2 linked regions of the Sus scrofa genome follow. The protein of the gene in region 1 binds, or shares a complex with, the protein of each later gene. Links are inferred from orthologs where the notes say so. Each region holds a gene or a part of one and is shown in the gene's direction. Other genes may lie near its edges.

Region 1 (4,123 bases):
GCAGGTAAATGACAGTATATTCAGAAAGTAATACTACACAGCAATGAAAAGAAACAAACCACTCATACATGCAAGAAGATGAACGACTCACCAAAACATTCTTCCCCTGAAGCAAGCCTTTTACAAAAAAGTATACATAACAAATGATGATTTCATTTATATGAAGCTCTAGAACAGATTAATCCATTTTGTGGAGAAGAGTCAGAACAGTGGTTGCCTCTGGAAGGTGGCGTGCCCAGGGATTGACTGGCAAGGAACATTAGCCAAATTTCAGGGGGTTTACAGACACATAACAGCAGTTACACATGTATATCTATTTGTTGGACTCAGTGAATGTGCACTCCAGAGTTGTGCATTCATGTTTGTAAGTTTTACATCAAAAGAAAAATGTAAGCAAGTATTGAACTCTAGTTAATGGTATGGATGCTGAACTATATAAGGGCAAGTGTCCTTATGTCTGAAATTTCTTTGAAATGCATCAAAACTTAAGATGAATTGAGGAAGTTATAGACTGTGATAAAGCAAGCATAGTAACATGTTAATTGTGGAATCTGGGTGATGAGTAAACAGGTGTTAAGCCTTTCAACTTTGTTGTATGTTTGAAATTTTTCATAATAAAAGGGTGAATTATTTCAGAGTTTTGTGCAAAAGTTCTGCACCAGAAGAGCTGGCTAGGCCCAGCAAATAGAGACAAGAAATTAAGGGAGGCAGGAGCCTGGCCGTACGACCTCGCAAAAGTAATCATTTTCATCAGTTTCTTTATTCTTTTCTTTCTTTCTTTCTTTTTTTTTTTGTCTTTTTAGGGCCGCACCAACGGCATATGGAGGTTCCCAGGCTAGGGGTACAATGGGAGCTGTAGCCACTGGCCTACAGCCACAGCAAGGCGGGATGCGAGCCGCGTCTGCGACCTACACCACAACTCACGGCAAGGTCAGTTCCTTAACCCACTGAGCGAGGCCAGGGATCGAACCCAGTCTGTTTCTTCAACTATAGCGGAGGGACAATGGCTGCAGCGACGCTCGATATTATTAAGCACTTTCTCGCGGGGAAGGGGGTCCTCAGTCCAGGCCCGAGCCACCTCACGTGCCCACCACCCATCGTGCCGGCTCAGCATCCTTTTACCCGCACCAGTCCTGAAGGGGCTCATCTAGGCCGTTTGCTCTGGTAGCCGGACCCCCGCTTTCAGGATGGCACCGGAAGTCACTTCTCCTACGCTCTTCCTATTGGAGGCCGGCCATCCAAGGGGGCGGGACTACTGGGAGGCGGAAGCAGCCGCAGGCATGGCGGCGGCGGTGCCGCTTTTTCTGTCGGTGCTGCTGCTCCTGGGGCCTGGCAGCTGGAGCCAGGCAGAATCCCCACGCGATAGCCTGCGGGAGGAGCTTGTCATCACCCCGCTGCCTTCTGGGGACGTAGCCGCCACATTCCAGTTCCGCACGCGCTGGGATTTGGATCTGCAGCGGGAAGAAGGTGAGGAGGCTGATGGGAGAAAGGTACTGTGACACCTGCTGGGAGTGGGGCGGAGGCTAGCCTAGGGGCGGGGACTGATTCCTGGATGAGATTCTGGCCCCTGGTCGTGGGGCCGGACAAACAGGGTCCTCGCGGAAGGATAGAATAGTTGTTGAACAATCCCATCGTACCGATGAAGAAATTGAGGCCTGGAGAGGGGGAGTGACTCCTCCTGAGTTCTAGTCCAGTGCTCTTTCCGCAGCTCCAGGCTGCCACTCTAAACCTTTAGTTAGAACCCTCTGTTGCAACACTGATGATGGTACAATTTGAGGTGACCATTTATCCTGGGTGCTCGGCGCAGTGCTAAGTTCTGTGAACGGTTATGAAAAAGAGATTGGAGGCATAGAGAGGTAAAGGCACCTTTCCAAGATGACATTGCTAGTAGGTGACTGAATCTGGTCTGGAGTTTAGATTCCTCTGAACCCAGAGCTGGGGTGTATTGTTTCTCTGGAGTGTCTGAGAACCCTCCCTCCAGGATCATCATCACTCACCTGCTCCCTTTTCTCCAGTGTCTCATTATAGGCTCTTCCCCAAAGCCCTGGGGCAGTTGATCTCCAAGTATTCTCTGCGGGAGCTGCACCTGTCATTAACCCAAGGCTTCTGGAGGACTCGATATTGGGGGACACCCTTCATTCAGGCCCCGTCAGGTGCAGAGCTCTGGGTCTGGTTCCAAGACACTGTCACTGAGTGAGTGCTCACCTTGAGGCCTGCGGCAGGCCTTGGTGGGAATGTGGCTGGGCAGGTGTTGTCATCCTACCACTGCCCTTGGCAGCAATTCCATGGGGGTAAATCTGGCGTTGGATGCAAGAAATATTCTGACTTGGGGGCATTCTTGCCTAGGCTGAATATACCTTTTTCCCCAGTACTTCCAGACCCAAGGTAGCATGTGCATATATCTATAGAGGCAATAGAAAGCTCTGGCAGATTCGGTACCCCCCCCCTCTTTTTTTGATCCTTTTTTTAGGGCCGCATCATGGCATATGGAAGTTCTCAGGCTAGGGGTCAAATCGGAGCTGCAGCTGCCCGCCGATGCCAGAGCCACAGCAATGCCAGATCTGAGTTGCATCTGTGACCTACACTGCAGCTCATGGCAACACTGGATCTTTAACCCACTGAGCGAGGCCAGGAATAGAACCTGCATCCTCATGGATACTAGTTATGTTCCTTACGGCTGAGCCACAATGGGAACTTCCTCCATGGATAACCAAAAGACATTCATTCACATAATAATAATAATAATAATAATAATAATAATAATAGGAGTTCCCGTCGTGGCGCAGCAGAAACGAATCCGACTAGGAACCATGAGGTTGGGGGTTCGATCGCTGGCTTCACTCAGTGGGTTAAGGATCCAGCATTGCCATGAGTTGTGGTGTAGGTCGCAGACGTGGCTCGAATCTGGCGTTGCTATGGCTCTGGCATAGGCCAACAGCAACAGCTCCAATTAGACCCCTAGCGTGGGAACCTCCATATGCCGTGGGTTTGGCCCTAAAAAGACAAAAGACCAAAAAAAAAATAATAATAATAATAATAAAATGTCGTGAGGACTAAACAAAATATGTGTGAACTAGAACTGGCCCACAAGATGCCAGATTTCTGTATTAGAAAAATTGCTTTTGTTTGGGCGAGGGGTGGGGTTAGGTACTGCAATTGGACCACATTTCCTCTTAACCCCCCTGTGGGAAATCAGTAGCTCATACGTGATTTTTTTTTTTTTTTTTTTAATTTAGGATAGCAGGGAGTTCCCATCGTGGTGCAGAGGAAATGAATCCAACTAGGAATTATGAGGTTGTGGGTTAGATCCCTGGCCTTGGTTAGTGGGTTAAGGATCCAGCGTTACCGTGAGCTGTGGTGTAGATCTCAGACGTGGTTCAGATCCCGCGTTACCGAGGCTGTGGTGTAGGCCGGCAGCTGTATCTCTGATTGGACCCCTTAGCCTGGGAACTACCATATGCCTCAGGTGCAGCCCTAAAAAACAAAAAAAAAATTAGGATAGTAATAGAGAGGTGGGGCCTGCAGCAGGCTGGCGAGCTCTGGAGGACAGCTGCCACTCAGCCCCTATGGATGTGGCTATGTGGGAATAGAAGCCTGCTGTCATCTGATACTCTCATTTTTTGAGCAATATCAGAAATCTGGATTTTAATGTGAAACTTGCCAAATTTAAATATCAGCGAGTAATTTAAAAATTTAAGAAATGTCACGTGGGTTAATGTTGTGCATATCAAATGAAACATGACTATGGTTTGAGTAGAGCTTTTGAACTTGCAGTTTGCCATCTTTATTTGAGGCCTAAAGATTGGAGCAATTGGGAAGCTCTGAACAGAGTATTATTGAAAGACCCCAGGACAGCTCCAAGGTGATGGTCAAATGAGGAGCAAGCCCCTGAACTTGCGAAGCCTTTCTCTCTTGCCTGAACTCTGGCTTCCTTGCCTTCTCTCCCAACCGTTCCGCTGTCACATCTCCCTTCATAATTGCCTATAATATGGAGCTGATGTTCAGAATTCTAATCTGATTCTATTATTACTATAAAGAGCAACTCTGTTTTGGTCTTTCTGACACCGAATTTCATTTGATGCTTATGCTTGTTTTCCCTTGTTCAGTGAGACATCCCACCCTG
Region 2 (3,647 bases), about 9.8 Mb from region 1:
TGTACACATTTGTCTCCACATCTTAGATTTACACCCATTGAGTCACCCTGACCTTTGCCCTGCCAGACAAGAATGCCATTACTCTGAGGAAAAGCTGCGTGAGCTAGGCATCCAGATTACTGGGCAGAAGTAGGGCATGTGCATGTTGTTTAGATGGTACTAAGGAAGGTGTAAGCCTTCCTGTTGGCTTCCCTTCAGCCCTTGGTCAGCTCTCAGAGGAGGAGCACCAGAAATTGGGTTCTGTCTCACCCTCTCTGATCAGAGCTGTGGTCGTTCTGGCACTCAGGAGAGCAGCATTGGTGGTGCTGAGCAGTTCTGGAGACAAATAACTCCACCACTTACGAACCTGCTTACCTTCTCTGAACCTGAGTTCCTCATCTGCAAAATGCAGTGACGGCATTGCCTACCTCGAGGTGCAGTTGCAGTGTAGTCAGGATCACATGCATTGATGCAAGAAAAGGACCTCGCATAAGACTTAGAGTGAGGGTTTAGGAAATGGCAGCCAGTCTTACTAGATTAAGGACGCAAGAACTCCATTTCCAGCCCTTAAGAGCGAAAAGCTGCATGCAGCTCTCAGTTCTCTTTCAGGAAAGGAGCTCATCATAGCTAAAGGTCTCTGGACCCCACTGACCATGTTGTCAGAGAGAAAAGCCTCAGCAAGGAGGCACTTCCTGCCCTGGGTCCAATGTCAGAGGGGCCTCTGGCAAGGGCGGCTGCCTCTTTACGCTGACAAGCAGTCATTTAAGCCCAGTAATAAAGGACGCTGACTTCATTTGTTTTCTTCCTCCACAGCTCCTGGGGGAAGGCTCAGAGCGGTGGGGGAGGGGTTGATGGGAAGTGTCTCTGTGGACTGTTTCTCAGTGTTTGCTGGGCTCTCCTCCCCACCTCTGGGCATCTTCCGGTCCCCGCAGTTTTCTGCTTCTGCTACTTGGCCTGGCCCTGTGTCTTGTGGGTAGCAGAGCCAGCCCTCTGTGAAGACCCCAGAGAGTACTTTTGGATTTGAATCGAGGGGTGGGGTCAGGAGTCTCTGGGGTGGCCTGGTCCCTGACTGACCTTCCTCTCTCTGTCTGCCCTGCCCCGCCTTCCCCAGGGAACACCCTGTCTTCTTCATGTTCATCCAGATTGCCATCATCTCCATCTTCAAGTCCTACCCGACCGTGGGGGATGTGGCCCTCTACATGGCCTTCTTCCCCGTGTGGAACCACCTCTACAGATGTGAGTACTCCTACCTCTGACCCCATGCTGGCAGATTGGTGTCCCCCGGCCAGGGAAAAAGGAATGAATAGGCACTTGCTGTGCTAGCAGCACTGATCGGCCGGGACACCATGTACAATATCTGCCTCCTTGGTGCTGTGGACTAGTGATGATAATAAAAATAACTACGTTTATTGAGCACTTACAGTATACCTGGCCACTGTGGTTCTAAGAGTGTTACACACGTTGGCTCATTTTATCTTCACACCAGACTCTGAAGAAAGTATCCCCATTTTGCAGATGAGGAAACTGAGGTACAGAAAAGTAGAGCCACTTGTTCCTTGACTGGTAGGTAGAAGGGCTGGCGTCAGATTCCAAACCTGTGAGCCTCCAGCCAGTGCTGTCCATTTGGGCTTTCTGTGGATAGTCCCATAGAATAGCCACCAGTATGCTAAGAAACTGAATTTTTAACTTCAATTTAAGAAGGCACACACAGCTAGTAGCTGTTGTGTTGGACAGTGCGGCACTAGGCCTTGGCTTTGAACCATTTCCCAGTGGTGTGTCGAAAGATCCACAGAAGACAGACAGGCAACATTAGACTTCCTGCCTGCTGTGAAGACCCCTTAAGCTCTAACCATCCCTTCCTCAAAAGGTGGCCTAGTGGTGATCTAGTTATGCTTTCTAGTGTTTCCTAGTGTCTCCCTCAGTCTGGCTCTTCACCCCCTATGTGAGTTCTTTTCAGTGTTTGTGGGCTCCCCAAGGGTAGGCTCATGGCTCCCTCACCTCTGTGTCTCCAGCACCCAAGATCAAACCTGACACACAGAACAACTCAGCACATGTTTGTGCTTGGCTCTTTGAAACCTCTCTAGTAAAGAGGCAGTGCCAGTGGCCCAGTACCACTCGATTCTCTAAACCGGGAAGGGAACTGTTGAACTTTCCTTGCCTAAGGTGGGTGCACAGCAAGGTGTCAAGAATGAACCCAGGCAGGGCAGACTTCAGAGGAAGCAAGTCTTTGTTATTGTTTTGGGACTGCTGGGTGTCAACCAGGAAGTGAAACTGATCAGCTGTTAGAAAGAACTCTACCTGTAGGAGTGGGCCTCTGAGTGAAGATAAACAGGCGAGTGGGCAGGCCAAGCCCTGCTGCTCCTGCAGGTGATGCCTGGTAGGGTGGTGGCCAGGCAGCTTGACTGGAAGCAGGAAGTGGCATCTTCTGCCTGCGACACCCTCATTACACAGTCAAGAATCATCCAGTCCAGCAGCCTCAGAGTCCGCCTGGCGCCCCTTGGCAGAGTGGCCAATGGCAAGTCACAGGGCATAGGAACCTACCCCAGTTTGTGACAGGGTGGGTCTTGGGGATGTTGATCCCCTTTCCCCTCCAAATGGAGTCGTTTTTGGCTGCATCTCCCTCGGGGAATATCTTTCATCTCCTATTGCTGAACATGGTCTGGAGCCAGATTGCCTTGAGTCTGAGTCCTGGCTTTCCCATTATAGCAAGTTATTTAACCTTTCTGAGCCTCCCGTTTTTTTCATCTGTCATATGGGGAGAATATCTTTCATGGGCGTTTCAAGTTTGAGAAAGAAGAAAATGTAAATAGCACTGCAGTTATTAATAGTAGTGATAATTATGCAGGGGTTGCAGGGCGGAGGGGTCTCCTGCATAGTTTTATGATCAAAGCCAGCCTTAGGCTTGGTACCCACAGTCATTCAGAGTCACTGAAATAAACATATTTTTCAAAACTTGAAATAAGCTATTTTATGCCCTCTGGGGTGGTGAGGCACAAAAAAATAAGGATGGCGTTTCTGAAACCCTGGATGATCTAATAGATGCTGTTGCTGGCTGGCTGGGCAAGTTTAGTTCATCTGAAGGTTCCTGCAGAGAGCCTGGGCTGCCACCTCTCGAGGCGCAGCTCCTGTGGCAGAAGGTACTCGTGCTCACGATGTCTGTTTGGGGCATGGCAGCTGTGAGTCATTACATTCAGCCTGGACCTGTGGAGATTCTGCAGAGTCTGTGTGCCTAGGTTGAATATATTCAGCCTTCTAATGTGGTTAAGAATTCAGTTTAAACATTAGTTCCAGTGCCAACATGCCTGCTCGCACATTCACTGTTTTGTTTTTCTGTCCGGCTCAGTGGGGAGAAGAGGCACGTGGGCCCCTCCCTGAGTGCAGGTCCCAGACGCTGGGACTCTGTGGGGCTTGGGGCCAGGATGAATCATACGAACGCGCAATTGCGGTGTTAGGGAACAGCCTGCTGGCAGAGCCCGTGCCAGCCTGCAGTGGTCCAGCTCAAAGAGCCAATTACCAAAGGGCTGGATTGTGTGTCTGTGTGTGTGTGTGCTTTATTTTGTTTTTATTAACTGTTTTATAGTGATAAAAGAATACTGATTTTAAAATACACATTAATTATAAAAAATAACACAACAAAGTCCTATATACCCAGAACCTAGTTTAAGAAA

Evidence for each region.
Region 2: the proteins of PIGT (region 1) and PIGU are in contact, whole or in part, in a cryo-EM structure (PDB 8IMX), measured with the Homo sapiens proteins. The link is inferred for Sus scrofa from reciprocal best matches to the Homo sapiens genes PIGT and PIGU. Residues at the interface, in NP_057021.2 of Homo sapiens: Tyr361, Gly362, Leu363, Gln364, Lys365, Arg394, Leu395, Tyr396, Val397, His398, Tyr416, Pro418, Ala419, Gln420, Asp421, Arg422, Gln445, Glu447, Leu450, Leu451, Lys452, Trp453, Thr454, Pro518, Thr519, Pro520, Asp521, Phe522, Ser523, Met524; in NP_536724.1 of Homo sapiens: Glu30, Lys42, Arg43, Val45, Glu46, Ser49, Leu50, Leu53, Val55, Ser59, Gly60, Ala61, Val62, Pro265, Asp266, Leu267, Pro269, Leu273, Trp275, Tyr276, Phe277, Phe278, Ala279, Glu280, Met281, Phe282, Glu283, Phe289, Phe293, Asn296.

What each region holds. Positions count from the first base shown.
Region 1 is NC_010459.5:47,734,100-47,738,222, forward strand, and holds the start of PIGT (GPI transamidase component PIG-T), read left to right. Parts: upstream 1-1,239; 5' UTR 1,240-1,280; coding exon 1,281-1,467; intron 1,468-2,015; coding exon 2,016-2,193; intron 2,194-3,453; exon of another isoform or gene 3,454-3,731; coding exon of another isoform or gene 3,732-3,862; intron 3,863-4,123. UniProt on the Homo sapiens protein: Component of the glycosylphosphatidylinositol-anchor (GPI-anchor) transamidase (GPI-T) complex that catalyzes the formation of the linkage between a proprotein and a GPI-anchor and participates in GPI anchored protein biosynthesis.
Region 2 is NC_010459.5:37,983,421-37,987,067, reverse strand, and holds part of PIGU (phosphatidylinositol glycan anchor biosynthesis class U protein precursor), read left to right. Parts: intron 1-1,090; coding exon 1,091-1,215; intron 1,216-3,647. UniProt on the Homo sapiens protein: Component of the glycosylphosphatidylinositol-anchor (GPI-anchor) transamidase (GPI-T) complex that catalyzes the formation of the linkage between a proprotein and a GPI-anchor and participates in GPI anchored protein biosynthesis.